2 linked regions of the Oreochromis niloticus genome follow. The protein of the gene in region 1 interacts with the protein of each later gene in a biochemical or structural test. Links are inferred from orthologs where the notes say so. Each region holds a gene or a part of one and is shown in the gene's direction. Other genes may lie near its edges.

Region 1 (10,161 bases):
GATCATGAGACGTTTCTCTCCTTTTCCATACCTTTCTCCTTTCCCCATTCTGGTAAATCTCAGTTGCAACTGCCCAAACCATTGTCCAATTACTTTTGAGCCTATGAAAGTGGTGGTAAGTCTTAAACAGCACAGCTAATATAGCGCTTTTGTTGCTTGAAGGTAAAAATACTCAAATTCAATTACATACAAATTGTTTGATTTAAAATCCAGTGTGGTAGTGTACAGAGAAAACAAATAAATGAATAAATGTGTTAGTGTCCACAAAAAAAGTAATAAAAAGAATGTGAAGGTGGCCCGCGAAGTGATTGCTAGCTTGCTAGCTTGCTAGCTTGATGTGGGTGTTGAGGTACGGCTTGCATTGGGAATGAAGGTTCAGTGGGAGGGAATAATTAGTAGTGGAACTCGGGTAACATATGTTAGAACACGAGCATACGATAAATATTGATGCATATTGAGCTAAATGTTTTTAATTCTCTGCCACTGATTTTTGTTTTACAGCAGCTGCACCAAAGGCTCATGTGTACAGTCACATCCAACATCATATCTAACTGCTGTGACAAATTCAAGGATAAAACATCATTCCTCAGAAAACAAAGCGTTTGAAAAATGGTGCCTATGACCTAAACTAATGGGGTAAGTATGTGTGCGTGTGTGTGTGTTATTCCCATTTGCGAAACAGCATGTAATGCAGCTCATCAGTCACCCAGGACAAACATGTCAATATTTTGATCCATGTTCATGCGCACAGGCCTTGAAATTCATACAATGTGGAAACCTGTGTGTATGTGCGTCGTGTGATTGTGCGTGTGCGTGTACGAGCATGTTCCTTTATGCTCAGAGGAAAGCAGGCAGTGCATCTGACCATATGCTGGAGGCAGTCTGCCTATAACGTGTGTAAGACTAGGCACGTGAGGTGTTGCTATCAAACTGCAGCTGATAGCAGTTTTGTCGGCTTGCAGAATTAATGTCAGTTTGAGGCGGGCACGCTCTACTTCCTGTCGTTGGTTTCAAACAATTGTATCAAGCCAAGTGTAACCGTAGGAGCGCTCAAGCTGTGTTTCTGGGAATGCTGCCATGGCCAAGCTGGTGCACGGCTGGCAGGCCCACTTAGACACGCATTTAAACACTCTCTCTCTGTCTCGCGCACAAACACACACAGGCTCTTACGCTGGTTATAGCATACTCATGGGGACCCTTTGCCTAAACCCTGTACATACACCCTACATCATATGCTCAACTTCAACCATTTTCCAACCTTGAGCTAATGTTAACTTAGAAGGAGAAATTGCCCTCACTTTCCATGAAAGCAAAGCAATGAAAAACACAAACAAAAACACCTGCTCACCAGAGGAGCTCAAACTCTGAGCTTAACGCCCAGCACTGAAAACAAAGTCGACATCTAAATAACGGGATGTTGCGTTAACAAAGAAGCCTGACTCTAAAGCATCTCTGGTGTCAAGCGGAGGACTTCTGCTGTGCTCACAGTTTGGGACTTTAAAAAGATACTTTCAATTAGAGGCAGAAAAAACGACGGAGGCACGCTGCGTCTGTAATTACCGCGCAATAGATGAATCATCATCCCAAGGAACAAGCTCACAGAACATCTCTTCTTAAGTGAGACTTAACAAAAAAAAAAAAAACTTTCACCAAACTCATTAAAAAGTTTGCGTGTGCTCTGTTACCTTTCTTCTATTGTTTGTAGTTCTCTGGCTGCCAACAAGCTGCAGCTGGTTTAGCCAATTTCTTCCCCCTGCTTTTAACGTATTTATGTGTGGAGCTGTGAGTAATGGCTCAGGGGGGGGGAAATCCACTAAGGTGAAGAGGAGGCAGGATGGATGCCCTAACCCTTCTTAATTAACTATTCATGAGACAATAGTCGCTCTCTATTTAGCTAATTGGGCCATAGCTTCTAAGAAAAAAAGAAGTTTGCAGAAAAGTGCCAAAAAGTAACTTTGGATGTCTCAGTGTTGAAGTCCAGGCATGTTTTTCCCACTCCGATCAGTCAAAAATTCTGTGCACAGGCAATTATTCCACAAAATTTTAATTGTTTTTTTTTTCAGACTATAATAAAACTTTTTGTAGGCATGGAAAGTATTTAATTTTGAAGTCATAAGCTTGACTGCCAGAAAATGCTTTTGCTGAATGCTTCTAGGGTTAAACTAGAGGCCTCAAAAGTCAACTGCCAGATCAAACCAGTCTGTTTGCTTCCAGGAAATACAAACCCAGAAAATAAAGGTGTACCCACTCCCCTCCTCCCCTTACATTAAAGCTCTTTTCAGCTTCACATTGAGAAAAGCTTTTAGGTGGCAAGCCTTGCTAAGTCTGTGAATGACACAAATGGCAAGCTTTTTTTTTGGTTCCCAAACCTGAGGACGTCTTCCACAATAAAGCCCTTTGACCTGGCCAGCTCGGTCAGAAAGCTTCTCCTGCTGCGGCCCATTTTCCTCTCCACCAGGTACAGCCTGACATCCTCAAACTTCACCCCTTCACGCCTGGGAGCGCTTGCTTCGGCCGGCCTTGACCTCTTCCTCGCGCGAGGCACAATAGGAGCGTGGAACATCTCTGAGATGAGCTCTCCAAAGTATTTCTGCACCTCTAGGAATCGCCGCTTTTGTGAGTTTGTGTCGGTATTGTTGTGCGCCACTTAACTTCCATCCAGGAAAAAAAAAGAAACACCTACTTTGGTAATGGCGCAGTTGTTTTTTTCACTTGTGTCTCTCTCTCTCTCTTTTTTTTTTTAATATTTGGGAGCAGAGTTGGTGAGAGCTGGCAGACAGGAAAAGCCTCTGGCAACAGGTGCTGAGGATTTGGTGTTTACCAAAAACCACCTGCCAAGATCGAGTGATTGAGGATGTGAGCGAGAGAAAAAATAATATTTTTTTTTCTTTTTTTTGAAAAACACTGTGCTGACGTGGTATTACTCATTTCCAGTGAAGTATTTTCAACCAACACACACTTGGAGGAAGTAAACAATTACTAATCCAGTAGCTGCTGCTTCTTCTTCTTCTTCTTCTTAAAAAGCTGCTCATAAAGTTTTCATGGACTTTAAATTCTGCTCCTCTCGACTGCCAGCGAGGCCTCTCGCTCCTGGGAGACGCCTGAATTCTGGTCACCTCACAAACCCCTCACAGCTGTCCTGCCATGTCCAGTTCGTCTCGCCACTCACCGTCTCATTATGTCCGGACCAAGCCTGCACCATCTGCTCTGCCGCTTTAATTAGCTTACTGCCTAAAAATGAGAGCCTTTGTGGGCATTTCCCCGGAGAGCCCGCAAGCTCGTGCACGGCCTTTGCACACACTCAGGTACTGTATACGCAAGCCGTTGATGATTAGGAGCGTTTATCCGGGGAATACGGCTGCATATGGATCGGACAGAAATGCAGACTGAAAAAAGATTTAATCAGCTGAATTCATCTATTCCTTTTGTTTCCCAAGAGGTAATTACAGCATGTCTCCTGTTGTTATGATTCCTGTGCTATGGCGGTCAGGAATGTAAAAGAAAAGGTTTCAGCAGGTCTTTGCTGTAATTATCTGCAATAATGGATCTGCTTCAGTAGACCAAACAGCAATGATTTGTTGATTTAGGCGAGGGTGATGAAATCATTACAGGCCTTTATTCTACATCTAATTACCACAGCCTCTGTTCATTTCGTCACTTTAATAAGCACACCTTGTTTCTGTCTGCTACACAGAAATTATTACACAGATCTCATTACCGCGGAGTTCTGGGGGTTAACGGGTGTCACGGGGCAGACGCCACTAATTGTTTGACTGTTTACCCCCACCCATCCGCCATCCCAATCAGTCAGTTGTATATGAGGGTGCTGGCCCCCATCCAAACGTGAGACCGATGAAATTCTATCACTAAGACGAATGGCTCTCACACTGCCAGCAGCAATCGTTGCACGAGCAATGAATCCAATTTCTCTTCCACCTTTCTTGAGTAGCTCTGTGGGTGCAAGAGAAAATTGTCTGATAATTACAATTATGGTGCATATTCAGTTCCATTTAGAAAGGACAAAGTGACAGTCATATCTTGATTTTTTTTTTTAGTTTATTTCTTTTTTTGTGCCCTGAGGCCATTTACTACAACTTTGAAGATGAAAATAATGACATTTATGTTGTGTATGTTTTAAAATTAGTACAACTTTAAGAGTTGTGTTGGGGTTTTATAGTCTCGTTAGACTATAATAAGTCATTACAAGCACACAAATATTCAAACAACGCATGCTGTGCTCAAAGAAATTTCACGTACAATACTGGAATCAAAAGAAATACAGCCAACCTTTGGCAACTTTTACTTAACAGTAAAGTTTCAAGATACCAGTTTGACATGATGCACTTTGTGGTGACATGTGCATTGTTAGAACCATCAGAAGATGGGTGCATGCATGGACAGCGTATACAGTAATACCCAGGTAGCCTTTGGCCTTTGAACGATGCTCAGTTGACACTAAAGGGTCCAAAGAGTACCAGGAAAATATTCCCCACAACATTGCACTACCACCCTGAGCCCTTGATACAAGGCAGGATGGGATACATGCTCCATTTAGCTTAAAGCTCGTTTTAACTTTGTCCATTTGTTCTTTCTGCTAAGACAACAGTATAGTCAGTTTACCAGAATTTTTTAACTACACTGTTCTGCTGCTCCTAAAAAAATGTTAAAAATGGTTCAAACATACTGAAAAAGCTACACAAGTCTTTAAAAGCTCAAGAGCAGTGCGTATGGAGCTTCCTGGAATGGGTTTTGATGGCCGAGCAGCTGCATCCAAGCCTTATATTACCAAACCCAATGCAAACCGTCAGATGCAGTGGCACAAAGATCGCCACCACTGGAATCTAGAGCAGTGGACAGATGTTCTCTGAAGTGATGAATCACGTATCTCCATCTGGCAATCTGAAGGACGAGTCTGGGTTTGGTGGTCAGCTGTTATAGCTGCAAACCCTATGGTTTAAAAATAGGATGTTACTGAAGTTCATATGCATGTGAAGGCAGATGAACAAATATGGCAATACAGTGTATCATGCAAATAGCAAATATTAGCAGCAGGCTCTATTAAGTTACATTCCACCACTTGTTCTGCCCGTGTCCTCATCTGATATCACTTTGCATTGCAAGAGTAACTGCACTCTAGTCAAATGGCATTGGTAGGATGGCAAGTAGTGATGTCTGACCTGAAAGTATCATTTTAAAAAAATATATATATATATATATGTATATATATATATATATGTGAAAAACGTAATTAGGTTAACTTAAACTTATCAAAGTTTCTAAAAAAAGCTGAATGAAGGAATGCACTCTATATATGGCCATCTTTCCTCAGAGAATAATGCAACCTAAAGAGCCTCATGAGTGAAATACGATCACCCCCTGAAATCAAAATAAACGCAGAGTGGATTACATCCTTTAACCATAAATGAAGCAGGCATGAGCTAGGATGTAAAAATTAAGTCCCACTGTTATGAAACTTTTGTTTCAGAAGTATTTATATAGAACGAGGAAGTCCCCGCTTCCCTATTTGTTAATGGCTCATTGTATTCTATGGGACAATTTTAAAATTTTAAGAAGACATGAATTGCCACACCACTTATGGGTTAAGAGAGAGAGAGAGAGAGAGACGGGAAACGTGTGTTGGTTATAATGAGGTGACCTCTCTGTGTGTACTTCTCCCTGCTGAAGCTGCGCTAGAGCCACAGTGCGTGACGGGTCAGTCTATTACTGTACTTCCAAAAGCACACTCGTGCTCAGAGGTTCCCTGTAGAGTCCGAAATGAACCTGCCGTCCAGAGAGGAGTGCGAGGGGTGGGACCAGGCAAAAGTAGCCTCCTTACTGTATAAGGTGAGTCCACTGGAAATGGGAGAGATGCTTGTGTTTTGTCATAGTTTAAATATTCACCACTTCATTCTGAGGGTCATGTATAATGTTAATGTTAATGCAAATTAGCAGCTAAAGTGTTAAAGTAAGACCAGGACATTAGATGACTGGAAGTTAAATGTTTGGTTGTTTCAATAAGTGTGTGTAATTAGCAATTTAAAAGTAGTGAATGGATATGTTTCCTCTCCTCAGAATAATATGCAAGAATGCGCCGTCACCGTAAACAGACTGAAAATTAATGGACAGAGATTTCTGGTGAGTCTTTCCTCATTTGTACCTGAATAATCCAGAAATGGCTCTTTCTCCCACGCAGTTACATAATCTACTAATCCACCCAGGATCATATCAGGGTTGTGGTTGTGTTCAGTTTGTTATTCTAATTAAAATGGTCAAATCCTGACGAGCAGTTGTTATTATTGTGATTATGACATTAACAGCAGCAGAATAATTACATTTCCTCGAGCTGTTTGTGCCATTTTGCTAGAAAACACACACACACACAAAGAATCAGTTGAGGCTGGTTTATTTGTAAAACTCTCACTCTCTCTGTTACTCTGGCAGACATTTTTTTATTATTTTCTTGTTAAAATGTCACTGCTTGACTTGACTGACGAACACACTTTTACTATGAATCTAAAAGCACGCTTCAAGTTGACAAACAGGAGAGTTCACAGGATACGAAACATGACTAAAGCCGGTTGCGTTACTTTCCACACTTGCTCTTTGTGTAAACTGTGGCCCTGCTAATGTGGAAGTCTGTGTATCTGTTGTAACTTCTGCTTTGGTTTCACCCTCGCTGCTCTGTCTCCATCATCCACACCGTGTGTACAGTCTCTGAGGCCTTTCTCATAGTTACCGAGAAGCAGGCTGCCAAAATGAGCGCAGCTGAGTGCCCCTGTTCGGGAGAGAGTAAGGAGTGTGAAATGAGTCTCATGGCTAATAAAGCTGTAATCCCCACTTACTTAAGTAAGTATCTCTAAATCTGCTTCAGTCATGAGGGGGAACGCTGTTTAAAGAGGATTTTATGCAGCAAATAACTGAAGTGAGGGTTTATAACTCCCTAATATTTGGTGTTTTGGGGATCTTTATAATACTTCAGTAAAAACCTCCCACACACTGGCAAGCCTGAAGAAGCTTTCATTCATATGCATCTTTTAAGTGGACGCTTATGCACACTTCTTGCCACGCTCTAAATTAGAGCAGCGGCCTAGTCGCCTATTCATTATTCAATGACCCTGAGCTAACTCCACTTTAGGTGGGATATTGCATCACTGAAGTGTTTGGCCTGCATAGTTAAAAAAAAAAAAAGATGCGGATTTTTATCAGTCAAATTGATTAATACTTCAGAGCAGAGGCTTTGATGTGCACATTAACAGCACCGATCTGAAATATACATATACATACAGTATGTGTATCGATTGATGGATCTCCTTAGCTACGGATCCAGCCAGTGCACGCTTAAGTAAACCCATGCTTTTATTGAATGGCTGCCCAGCTTTTTAGTTTAACTAGCTTCAAGGTTGCGGTGTCTGACAGACATTCCCCAGTCAAACTTTTAAGCTTTTTTTTTGGTCTAGTTGATTATTTTTTTTTATTCAGTATTTTTACTGCAGCAAAGGATTTTGATCTATAACCTAAAATCCCCAACCAGCTTCTCGATGGATCGCTTTTGGATGAAATTTCCTTCTGCTGTTCGGCGTCCTCAGAGGCTGAATCATGCTGACTTTTGCAAACCTCTAACTTTTTCTCCAGTGCCGCAAGAGGAGGTTGACATTTGTGGTTCAGAGCAAAGTAGCTCAGCAACAACTGGGTGCACGGGCATGAAATTTGCAGCAAATATTCTGTGTCAATAGAGGACTTTGTTTTGCTCTTGACTTTATAATTTGCTCAAACAGGCAGGCTGGCATTTTTAACTATTATGTAGCATATGTAAGCAATTTGCACAAATAATAGACTGTATATAATGCAAAATGTTATATAATCTGCTATTTTAAGCTCTATAGTACAGATATTTGTGGTTTGATTACCTTCCGGTTGTTCCTCCAATCAAATGCTCCCATCAGTATCAGCTTGTTAGCATTGCTACTGGAATATATTAGCAAGCTGATGTTAGGCTGTTATGACTGTATATAAAATATGGACACCTGCTAGTTTGTGAAGGCTTTAAGCATGTTGGCTGTCACAGTGAAGTGGGATGTGATGAGCAAGAAAACTCTGGGCACTGCTGTCAACCACAAGGTGGCCCCATCCTGAAGCAGTATTGGCTCTACAAGTAGCCATAATTTAGAAAAAGTCCATGATGTAACTGAGAAGATTTCTAACTCACAAGTTATACTACAGCACAGTCAGGAAACTGTTTTCTGGAATGATTAGTGGAATCCTTTTCCTATAGACAACCTGTCTTTGTCATACAACCAGAGAGGTTGCCCCCTACTGGTAATGATAAAGAATGCAGAAGCTTCACCTTTCAGATCTGGAAAGTTACAGAAGAGTTATGACACTAAATGTTCACTGGTGTTTATGAGCATGCTTACAGAAAGTGTATAAAGTTGTCTGTGTTTGACAGAATAACTTCATAGATACATATATTTGGAAAATATCTGAAAAAAGTCTTTACTGTAAAGACATTTGTGTCTTTGAGAAAGGTTTTGTTTGGATTTTCAGTTGACGAATTCCAGCAGATGGTGCTCTGTTACTTTCTCTACTACAAGTGACGCTGCTCATTGCAACTATCCAGTTCCTCTTCTATTTTTGACAAACATCCTGAAATTGCCCCTGGCAGTGTAATGTCACTTCCTTTTATTTTACAAGAGCAACCGTTTTAAAGACTCAGTGGTTGAATCATCAGTGTGCTTCTGAAAAACCGACCCGCCTGCAAATATACGTTTTTGTATTGTTTGAAGGGGCTGTGTTTGCCTGTGTTAACCTAAAATCACATTTGACAACAACTGCAGTGTTGTTAACACTCCAGTGACATCACTGAAAGGACTAATTATTAATAAAAGGAGAATTTTTAAAGGCATTGTTTGCCTCTTCTATGGGTTTTTAAAATCCAGCAAAGAAGAGGAAACATTTGTAATAAGTTATTTTTGACTCATCCGGAGCTCAGCGTGTGTCCAGAAGCAGAGCAGGGCCTGCACTTTGGTATCTGAATGTCATCCAGCGAGCATGCTTCTGCTGAGCATTGCCTTTGGCTTATTTTACATATTCATGTAATGTACAGTGGCTGGAGCAAAGGTCATAAAATCCATTTAAAAAAAGTGAGCAACACAGATCTGAACTGCTTTCATATGGCAACGTCATCATCAGCTCCTGGCTCGAATGCATCTTATTCACATTGCACCCACAACGCGTGGTCACGATTTAGCGGTAAGAATGAAAGGTGAGAAAAGAAAAACAGTTTTATTCGAGCGGTGGATGGCTGTATAATACAGTACGGAGAGGAATGACAGACAGTCAGCGCAGCGCGGATAAAGGTAATCTCTGTCTTTTTGATGCCACATTCGCTCACACAGGTAGACAGGTTAAAAGCGATATGTAGAAGCAGAAGATCAAAAGAACTGTCAGCTTCCATCTCTGTAATGCCGCCTGTGTGTGGCGGCTATGTGGGGAAGCCACTTTCAGCTTCTGTGTATCACATTGACATTACAAACGAAGGCCCCTCGAAAAAAAAAACCACGTGCTTCCATTGCAGATGCTTCCTATGAAGCACATATAGCACATCTGCATTTAGTTGCCACTTTATTAGGTGCAGGGTTGGATTGCCTTTTGCATTCAGAAGTGTCTTGTGCTGGAAACATACCTCAGAGATTTTAATCCATACTGACATAGTATCACAGCTTCATGTCCGTAATGCGATGCTCCCATTTCCACCTGTTAAAGAGCAGCTGTACCTAATAAAGTGACTTGTATATGGGGAAGCAGTGTATATTTCTGCTTTGCCGTTGGCCTTAAAAATCTACAGCGGCACTCTGCAATAATATATCCTCAGCGTAATAAGCAGTAATTCTTTAGCCTCACTGAATCTAATTTGAATTTTGACACAGCTGCCTCGTAATGGATAACAGAGCCACAAAGCAGGAAAAACACCTTAAACTAGAATTAGCTTGTCTACATCCAGTGTAGATTTGTGAACATGTGGAAAGTCTCTCACCTAATGACAGTCATGAGACCTTGTGCAGCTGCCGTGAAAGAACCGAGGGGTAATTTTGTGGCCGTGTAGCTGCGAAGCTGTTCTCTCTATCGTGAAATGAAACTCGTTTCAACAAGAAGTATTAACAA
Region 2 (10,743 bases), on another chromosome or scaffold:
GTGTGTATTATTCTATTTGAAGCACTATTACAAGGAACTTACAATGTCAAAGGATTTTTTTAATGCTAATTATTAATGGTCAGAATTTATTATAATTTAAAGACTACTGACTCTTGACACTTTCAAACTATATCTTTCTATCCACAGATGAAAGTCAGACCACGAACGAAGTAGCTGAGGAGACGAACCCCATGAGTACAGACAAAGAAGGTCAAAACCCAAAAGGAGACGATGAGAGCATCAGCGCGCCCCTGGTGCTGTCCCAGGAGAGGAAGGAGGAAGTGTGCAGGAGGCTACGCAGCCTGGAGGAACAACTAAAGAGACTACAGGTGAACAGAGGGGGAGATGGAGGGGAATATTGAGAGAAAACTGTAAGCAGGGAGCAGGACGTATGACAGGGGCAGATAGAAATGTCAGCTCTAACAAAAGATTGGAACTGACTAGAAAGAGACTCAGAGCTGGGCATGAAGATTTCAGTGGGGATAACTTGAGTAAGGAGTGAGCTGTGGACAAATGGGGCCAAATGGCACAAAAGAGAAACCAGAGAATAGAAAACCATTTAACTGCTGCTGTTATTGCTTTGCTGAAAATTGCCTTGTGAAATTGGACTTCTCTAAAAATGGCTATTATGTCCAGCACTTGCAATGGGATGTGTCAGAGAAGCAGCGAGGGAGACGAAGAGAGGATGTTAAGAGGAGAAGGTTGAATTGTGTGTGTGTTTGTGTGTTCTCAGTTCCTACGGTTATATTGATTTTGTGTGTTGCAGACTGTAGAAGAGGAACACCACAAGCTGCAGGAAGCCCTTTCCAAGTTCTCACTGGAGGGGGGCAGCTTCCAGTGACCCACCTTAATGCCTCCTGCTGGCCGTTAGGTGAGAACACTAAACTAGATAGTCATGTTAAGTATCGAATTGTCATTATGATTAATGTTATAGAGCCATTTCCACTCACGAATGGACAAGGTTAAAAGAATCAGGTTTAGCTTTTGGACAGCTTTTTTTTTTTTTTTCACCCTGAAAAATATGTGCAGTGTTATTGTTAAACTGTGTATATCTCAAGCAAAATCCATAAACAAGTTGGGGCAGTTTGTACGTGGCCTGAGAGGTGAAGCCCAAGGCAAAAACAAAAACCACTTACTGCTGGTAGTTGGGACTATTGGCCGTGAGCTAATGGCAACATTTGAAGGTGACTGATGACAGCACCTGCATTTTTATGAGCTCTTCTCAAGCTGCATTTGCATTTTTGTGACTGTAAAGTCTGAAGAATCAAAATGAGACTACAAAAATACTAGATTAAAAAAAAAAAACAGGATTTATATTAAAAAGTATGTTGGTTTTTTGGGGGGGGTTTTTAATGATTTTTTTTTTCTGTGCAGGTTTTGACTGGTGCTGGTTTGGACTGAGTGACTTTCAGAGGCTTTCCTGGAAATTCCTATACCGTCATACATCTATGACCAGACCATCGATACATTTCTTTTTCTTCCCCCTCTTGCGTGTGTGTGGGTGTATGTGTGTATGTGTGTGGGTGTGTATGTCAGCTGTTTGCAGCCAATCAGAAGTTTTATTTTGGGGGGGTTTTTTCTCCTTTTACCAATTGGCCATTTAGGGAAGGGCTTTGTGCACAGTGCAGTGGTTCAGTAATGGAACATGGGAGGTGTGTATGTGTGCGTGCATGCTGGATAGAGGGCTATACAAAAAAAGAAAAAAACAATGCTAAATTGGGGTTTGAGGATGCTGTTAGTGAGAGGTGCCAAAAGAAATGAAGCAATATTTTGCTGTTAGTGAGTTGCTGCCTAAGAAAATATAGTGATTTGAGTCTGCTGTAACACACATACGCAAACCAGAAACATGCATGATGGAAAATAATTTACAGTAATGCCAAATTCAAATGTACAGTAAAAGAGAGAGCCTTAAATGGCCAATGTAGCATTAGGTCTATTGAAATACTACTACTGATATATAGTGTTATTTCTAGTCTATGCCAAAGTAAAACAGAGATGCACTTTTAATCAAAACAAGATGAACGCACACAGTTATTGCTAATTTTGTTACTTTTAGCTCTGTATTCTGTATGGTTATTAAGGCAGCCCTCATTATTGAAACGATGCATGCAAGAAAGTGTGTGTATGTGCGTTACAAATTTTTTAATTAAGGATATATTTCTTTGGATGATTCTTACTGTAATTAGGTCACATAAAAATCATTTATAAATAGTGGCAGTATAAGTAATCTTGCTGTTAATAGTGGAGATTTGTTTGTATGTACCGCTTTTATTTATTCCCTTGAGTCCTTGTGTGTCAGTGAGCTTCTTCACCTGAGTGAAGCTGATACAATGCCAGGCCAGAAAGAAAAAGCGATGTGCAAATGTCGGACAGGACAAACAAAAGCGAAGCTTGCGTGTGTAGAGCAGATTAGAGTGGAATAGAAAAGTGAAAGAACTGGCAACTGGTTTCAAGGTGGTTGCTTCTTAGATACCTTTAACTTGATGGTCATGAGAGAGTAGAAAGTAGGAGATTAGGATTTGCGCCCCTATATTAAAAAACAAAAAAATACAGAAAAATGTATATATATGAAATATATAGAGAGCTCAGTATTACCACGCTCATATCATTTCAGAAGTTTCAACTTAGCTTTAGAGAGGGTTCCTAAATGCTCATCCAAAACACTTTAGTTGGGGTTATACTTTTCGGCGTATTATGAGATCAGATTGATTTAAAAAAAAAAAAATCTGTTCATCTCTGGTATATTGAAAATTTGAGCTATGGTGATATTTTATTGAGCAGTTGACTATGGTAATATAATTTCTGATCTGTGGCGTAACTGGGGCTGTGCACACAGGACCAAAGAAGTAACAGCAAACCGCTAGATCCTCATTTGTACATTAGCTTTATTAGTGACGTGCATCATCTGTGTAGTAGCGTGTCACAAAATGTTGATGCAGGAATGGTGGCTCAGTAATGCAGTCTGGAATCAGCAGCTGCTTTTCTTCACCCCAAACACGAAGGGATTTGAAAAGCACATTGAATAATAAAAACACAATTTTTTTAAAAGTTAATGTAAAGAAAATACCAAGATGAAAAATGTTAGATTATTTGGGATTAGTCATAAGACATTAACAATCTATAGGACTGGGAAGTTTAACATTGAACAAAAAAGTTGCGCTATAGAGGATTAGAGACGCACCGCACACGCCCCTGGTACTAAGCTGAACATATGGGGCTGATACTGACACAGCAGCAATACTGCAGCCAGATGAGGACACAAAGGAAATGCTGAAGGTCTGGAGGAAGGAAAACTGTAGACTCACTCCAACATCACTCTTACCAGCACTGTAATCAGGAGCACTTCCTGACATGCATTCTTATTGTTGTTGTTGCCACAACAACAAATGCCACCTTTGAACCTACTGAACCTCACCGGGTTTGCTCATTTTGATCACTTAAGTGTTCATAGTCTTCTATATATGATTCTAGCATCTCTCTCCATGTATTGCTCTTTGGAAGTGTATATAAATGTAGTTTGAAGGCAAAAAAAGACAAAGACAAAAAAATAATAATAGCTCCCCTCTGTGTGTTAAGCTTTTTTTTTTTTTTTAGCTACACACTCTTCTTCATAACACACTCACACCTTTTAATTGCGTAATCACTTGTTTCTACTGCACAGTTTTATCCCACATTTTGTGTATTGAGTCACTTAAGTAGGTTGGGGAGGGAGTATTTTCCACAGAGGCTTTTGTAATTATTTACTATGCATTTTCCACAATGGTGAGAGAGGCAGGACTTGCCTGTAACTTGTCTTTGCAGTTTTATGATTGTGAATCAATTGAAAGAAAAAATATTCAGTGCCAACCAGCTCTGTCCTCAGGCTACCCACAGTGCTTTTCAATTTTTATTAATGTAGGTGGTAGGCAGTTGGAGTCCAGCTACCAACAGCATCAGCTGATTCCTTCAGTCTCCACTGGCTCAACAACTACGACAGGCACTTCTCGCGCTCTCTCCTTTAAATGCTTTTCCTCATGTATTCCATATACAAAATGTATAGAAAACTTTATTTATAGAGTGGTGCCTTGTTCTAACGATCAAGTTGTTTGCTTCATAAAGGACTCTTTAGTTGAACACAATCACTGCTGTGTGTGTACCTCAATGAGAAACATGACTAGTAAGCAGAGAAAAATCATGCCAGGATTCTGGTTGGGTGGTTTAAGGTTTGAGGGTTGTTTCTATATGTAGTTTAAACTTGGGCTTCATCACACTATTTTTGTGTCCATCTCTATCCCATAGTGAGGATGTAAGCCCTCTACCAACTCAGCCGACCAGTGCCCAGTATATTAAAAAAAACGAAATAGACACTGCTCCTTGCCATACTGGTGTTTGCCATCTTATCTATAAACATTGTATATGCAAGAACTATACTGTGTATTTGGGTTTGATTTTTATTGTGTAAGATGCTCTTTAATGATGTATACCTAAAGAAATTTGTGGTACGCTCTGTTTTTTTATTTCTTTTCTCTCTTTTTTTTTTTAATAAACTGGGGAAATTTTTTTCTGTTTTCTTATTTACAGTTGGGAGAACATCATGACAATTGTTTAGGGTTCAACCATAGTTGGGCTTCACTACATTTCTTTTTTAAATATACAGTGCATATTTTTTTTTAAAAACACATGAAATATAGAATATCGGGATTCCATGTAAATTCCAGTCCTTTAAATTCTAAATATTTAATTGAAAAAATGTGTCAAATCTCAAATCTGATTATATTAATCTGCAATATACAGTTAATTGTGCAAAAAGTCCCAGAAAGGTATTTAAAAGGTAAAGATGATGGCTTTATGTGCAAGTAGCTATCTCTTTCTAAATGTTGAATTGCAAAGAATTTACAGGGTTTTTTAATACACAGGGAACAAGGCTGAAAAACATTAAATGGATCTTAAGCCAAAGCTGTTTGAAACAATAGATTTCTGTAGTGGAAAGCACTGCATTAGTTCAGGAACACAGTTCATGACACTGCATGCACCAATTAAACAAAGCTCCACTGTAAAACAAAAAAGGTAAACAAGATCCAGAAACTCTCCACCTATGGGTCTGACCTCATTTGAGACAAAGTGTTTGTTTTTGTCTGATTAATCTAAATTTGACATTCTTGTAGTTTTGATGGGTGCACTCTGCAACAATCCAGGTATATCACTGGAAGGTTTGGATCAGCCATCAAACAGGACAAGAACAGACTACAAAGGACTGTGAGGTCTTCTTCCAACTATTCCCCTCCAGTAGGTGCTATAACAAGCAGTGTCACTACTAGAATTTGGCAACACTGGGACCTTACACAGGTTGCACAGGTATTTCAACTCCTCCAGGAAGGTACAGCAATACTTGCCATTGCCAGAAGGTTTCCAGTGTCTCCCAATAATGGTGTTAAGAGCATGAAGGAGGTTCCAGGAGACGGGCAGTTACTTTAAGAAAGCTGGAAAGGTACCTGCTCCTTTGTGCAAGGAGGAACAGCAGGAGAACTCCCAGAGTCCTACAAAATGACCTTCAGCAGACTTCAGAGGGTGGCCTGAGGCCTTGATGTCCTCTAGTGGGTCCTGTACTCACTGTAGATGATATGTATTCATCTCAGTAGCAGGTAATGTAGATGTTTAAATGTTAGGGATTTAAATGTTAATCAGAGTGGTGATGAGTGGGAGGAACAACAGCACGGCGCCAAACTGAAATAGTCTGCCAGTATCTCACCCAATGGAATCACAAGGCACACTGAAAAGAAAAACGACTGACCAAGGCTCCAAAATGTTTAATAGTAAGACTTTTACTTCAAAGCTTGAACAGTTTGTCTCCTGAGTTATTGCTTTCAGAGAAAAGAAGAAATACAATACATTGTCCCTCTATCAACTGTTCCATTTCTACTTTTGATATTAGCAATTTTCAGTTAAGAGCAGCATTTAGTTGCTATTTGCATGTTCAACAGACTTTCAGACTTTTTTTAAAAAACAAGGTTCTATTTTTTTAACTGTTTGGATGCAGTACTTAAGCAAATGTGGGCTGGTGGAAATTTATTCAAGCATAAATCCTGCCACTGAAAAACAAGACACCAGTGTGATCTTGCAGAAGAGAAGACTGAAGCAGCGCTGTGTGTAGAATTTTTTAAAACTTTTTTTAAAATCAGAATTTCATCCGTTTTTATTTCTAGATTGAATTTTGGCTTATGAAAATGGGGATGGTTGTAATATTTGTCCTCTCCAGCTTGGTGGGTGAGTCAGATTATATTTTTTAACACATTCAAGTATGTGGACTTGTTTTATTTAGAAGTAATCATTGACATCATCCGTTTATTACATATTTCAGAAATCTCAGTTATGTTTTTGAAAGATTAATTGTTTCAGCATGTCATATTTCTACATATCGGTTCAGTATATATGTACTCATGTATTAAAGTTTGTTTAACCCTTTTGAGTTCTGCTTCAGTGAACCACATTTCCTGTCAAAACAGATGGCTGTGCTATCATGATGACATTTTTTGCTTCAGTCGTTCTGGTTACTTATGCTATACAATTATAGATCATTTGGCATTTTTAAAGCATATTTTAATACTTTGTCAGTTTTGAATATGGGTTGTGACATTATATGCAGCCATCATTAAATAATCGGAGACCTCGATAACAAGTCCTACAACATAACATGTCTTAACTTGCGCTTTCTTCAACAGTGGATTTTGCTTGGGGTGACCTGACTTTAGAACCAGACAGACCCTCACTGAGTGTGGCAGTCTCTGAAAACGCTTCACTGGAATGCTGCTATAAATCACCGTCGAGGATAGCGAATGTCACCTGGATCCGCCATCATAACAAAACTCAGGAGGTGGTGTTAAATCAAACAGTTAAATCAGAGACCAAAGAGTCAAACTCTGTAAAAATATATTGTTCCGTGCTACACTTCACTAAAGTACAGCTGGAGAACATTGGATTTTACCAGTGTGTGCTGAATGCTAAAATCTATTCACATGGAACCTACCTGCGTGTCTACAGTGAGTGTGCGTGTGTATATGTGTTGTTTTGGGGGGGGGGGGGGTTGTCACTACTTCATAAGCCATAAATCCTGTTATTGTTAATCTGTCCAAGAGCTGTGAAAATGGCAGCATCCATATATATTCAACTTATTTCATCTTTACATCTTCAGGGTTGTTGCATTGCAGTATGCTGCACCATTCATTCACTTTAAATAGCACCAAAATTAGATCAAATTTCAGTCATGTCATTTCAGTCATGTGCAAAGGCATTAGTCACACTGAAAGGCCTCTTTACACACTAATCTCATTAAAACCAGATGGTAGATGAGGAAACATAAAACTGCCAGTCAGAGGGATTATGTGTGCGATAACCTGCACTGTTAACGTGACCTAACAGTACCACCAATTGTATGTTTAACTGTGATCCTTATGCTAAATGTAACAGTTATATAACAAAACTATCAGTCTCATAATAAATCTCCTGGTAAGGCTTTTAAGTAATGATTTTGTTGGCCTGCGTTCTCATATGCAGGCTAACAAATACGCAGGATTCACGTGTTCACACTTAAAGTGGAAAAAGATAACTCGTGTTTAAAAACCAATATGTGCAAGTGCTAATTTGTTTGTTTGACCTCTGAACCCTTTCTGCATTCCTAGAGCCAATGGAGAAGACCATAAACCTGAGTGAAACCACCAAAAACAAGATCCTGATAGCTGAGGGATTCTTACTATTACTGTGTGTGATGCTGCCTTCTGCCATTCTTCTGTTCAAGGTCAGAACGTTGCATTATTATACAATGATCAGCAGCACTACTGTTGAAGCTATCCTTAATTTCAAGCATTTACCCACAAGAGCATTATTTTTAATGTATTATTCATGCATTAAAAAGTAATGCCAGAGCTGTGCGACTCTGGCATGGATTTTTTTTTCTTTCTTCTCTGTCAACAATGGGAATTTGCAACGTTTGACTGATTTACTACTTTTGGTTTGCCCTACAGTCAAAGAAGCTTAATGAACTGGAGAAAAAGAAAGCAAAGAAAGAAGAGGAAAATATATATCAGGTCAACATTACATATTCTCAATCTCTTTCCATTACACAAGGCAAAGCAGGAAAGCAGGAGCTAAGAAATGAACACCATTTCTAGTTCTTTTTGTTGTTGATGTGTATATCTTTTACTGATAATAGCCTTTGCATGATTTCCTTTTTCATTTTATCAAAAACCAGGGGCTAAATCTGGATGACTGTTGTGCAACATACGATCAGATTGAACGCTCCCAAGCACAGGGCCCGTACCAGGATGTGGGCAACATTAAGGAAGAAGAGGAAGAAATCCAGCTGGAGAAACCATAAAACAAAGTGAAGAACAGACGGTTACGAGTGTTACATGTAAATAGCAGGCTTCTTACAGCACGCTCTGATTTCAGAGTTTTGTACTCTGAAGGTTTTTATTTTTTAAGATTTAAACTGTATTTGTCAAAACAATCTTAACACAATATCCACTGGTCTGCAACCAGGATTTTAGAAATACGTGCTTATCAACATATCAACTATAAACTTTTTTTCACTTGTTTCATGATGTTTTTAAATATACACATTTACATTTTTAAATATATGTGGGTGTTTTGCTTTAGCTTTTTTATTCTAATTTTGCACACAGGCTCCAGAAAAACATGACGGGTCAGACTGGTTAGGCTACTTATGCACCCCAGGTTGCGTTGTCGGCTTTTTAAATATTCATTGACGTGCATCTGCAACAGTTATGTGCTTTTTGCTATTTCTGTGAGTGCTGGAATAATAAAATGATGTTAAAAAATCCATCAAATCTCTCTATAAATTGTCTGAGTAATACAATTGCCCTCTGTGTGCAGTGAATAGGATAAGGCTTTGTTTCTTTTAGGGGGTTGCACAATAAAGAGAGTAGGGCGGCACTTACGAAATTTTGATTTGTCCTGATTGGTTACTGAACAGAGGTAGGTTTTCATTGGCTTACATTTCTGGCGTGGGCGTGGTCTCATGGCTTCCCAGGTAGATCTGTTATAAGAGATGTGAGAGGCGGTGCGTAAACAGAGTGGGCGAATATGGCGTCCAGCAAGAAGGGTAGTGGGACTAGCAGACTGGAAAAAGGTGTGAATGGAAGGCGCTCGTCCAAACACAAAGAGGGTCCAGTGGGTGAGGGTTTTTTTTTTTTGTAAATTTGGTCTACCTACTAAGCTCCCTCTGTGGCTTGTCTCTTTAATAACACCCCCCCTCCCCAGTTGTACGCTGTGTCCTCCTGCTAGCGTCCGTTAGCGGCTAAGTTAGCTGTCCTTTGGTAGCTGCCGCTAGGTCTGTTTTAGCAGTAAAAGTCTCATGATTCTTGTATGACAGAAAAAGGGAGGCGCTGAGTTAACATGTGCGAGCTGTTGGTGAAAGAAGTGTCCAGTCAAACTGTGACACTCTGTTGCTGGCATGTCTCTAGTTAGAGCATCCTTTAGACGTAGCAGCCGCCTGCACACCGTTAGTAGTCATTATAACGTTAGCAGCCAGGTTATCTATGTAATAGACTTTAGTTTACGGGACACATACTGTATGTAGCACGTGCTCGTATTTATGTTCACTTGTCACTTTTCGTGACTCTAGCGTCGACCGCTGACACCGACCGGACCCACCTGAACAGGTACGCAAAAAACAACCACTAGAGGAGGAGACTAGATTAACCAGATTAAAGCTGCGAGCGTAATACATGCACACAAAGGGGGAGTTTATAGTTGTACTGCACTGTGCATTAATCGATTAAGGTCGACTGATGGTGACGCTGTCACTAGTTCGACCGATGTGACGTAAGAGCAGGGTGACACATCGTGACTAACAGCAAGCCTCTGAAAGGCGGTGGCAGACTTTCAAAGCACGATGCTCGTAGGGACTGTGGATGTACTATTATTACTAAACACACTCTCGATTTTGCTCTGTTCGTCTGGTGACTAGTCTTCTGTCTCATTGTATTTAAGAACAGTCCAGCCCACCACGTTCAAAAAGCCATATTTCTGACCGCAGTCTGAATCTTATCTTTGTCTTTGCTATCTAAACAAATGACATTGTGTATTGTAGGCCCCTATAATTGGATAGGAAGCGCTTCCCCTAATCTTACTTGTTATGGAAATTTCCTAACATGCTCAGGTTTTATCAGATCTTATCATCAGACTTATAATTTTCTTTTCCTATAATGCTATGATATTATAAAACTTAGGTGAACCCATTTATGTAAAGGGTGTGGAGGCTCATTGTTGCAAGTTTCCTGTTGTTGAGTTTGGACTTGTGTGCGTGTGAAGGTGCTCTGCCTGGTAGGAAGGTCAAAACTTCCTTCTCATGATACTACTGGGCTCCTGCTGCACGCTCTTCTGTTTTGCCTTTGCCCTGGACAAAGATGTCTTTCTATAGATTTAATTCTTTGACTATGACACATATCTGGAACTGTCACATCGTATGTAAAGAGACCATCTTTCAGAGGTTGTGCTGTGATGGATGGTGCCTTTTGAAAAACAGCCAATGTGTTTTTATGTGCTTGGGATTATAATTACCCACTTTTCGACAGCATGGGTCTGTTTAGGCTTGATAAAGTGGGGAAACAAACACCAATGAGTTAGAAAAGGCTTAGACAAGATCAGTACAGTAAGTCAAACTGACATTGAGAAGATACTTCTATATAACAACTACGGTAGTGTTTTCTGAGTGGAAGGAATTTCAAGTGAGAATTTATATTCAAG

The links. The genes of interacting proteins can lie anywhere in the genome.
Region 2: the proteins of blnk (region 1) and cd79a form a complex in vitro, tested with the Homo sapiens proteins (2 studies listed by BioGRID). The link is inferred for Oreochromis niloticus from reciprocal best matches to the Homo sapiens genes BLNK and CD79A.

Annotation. Positions count from the first base shown.
Region 1 is NC_031978.2:26,390,154-26,400,314, reverse strand, and holds the start of blnk (B-cell linker protein), read left to right. Parts: upstream 1-5,679; 5' UTR 5,680-5,775; coding exon 5,776-5,844; intron 5,845-6,072; coding exon 6,073-6,135; intron 6,136-10,161. Other genes in the region: dntt (DNA nucleotidylexotransferase), read right to left, coding at 2,370-2,563. UniProt on the Homo sapiens protein: Functions as a central linker protein, downstream of the B-cell receptor (BCR), bridging the SYK kinase to a multitude of signaling pathways and regulating biological outcomes of B-cell function and development.
Region 2 is NC_031976.2:25,272,637-25,283,379, forward strand, and holds cd79a (B-cell antigen receptor complex-associated protein alpha chain), read left to right. Parts: upstream 1-6,049; 5' UTR 6,050-6,197; coding exon 6,198-6,243; intron 6,244-6,698; coding exon 6,699-7,016; intron 7,017-7,655; coding exon 7,656-7,771; intron 7,772-7,997; coding exon 7,998-8,060; intron 8,061-8,224; coding exon 8,225-8,350; 3' UTR 8,351-8,817; downstream 8,818-10,743. Other genes in the region: arhgef1 (rho guanine nucleotide exchange factor 1), read left to right, coding at 148-329, 767-841; lipeb (hormone-sensitive lipase), read left to right, coding at 9,079-9,169. UniProt on the Homo sapiens protein: Required in cooperation with CD79B for initiation of the signal transduction cascade activated by binding of antigen to the B-cell antigen receptor complex (BCR) which leads to internalization of the complex, trafficking to late endosomes and antigen presentation.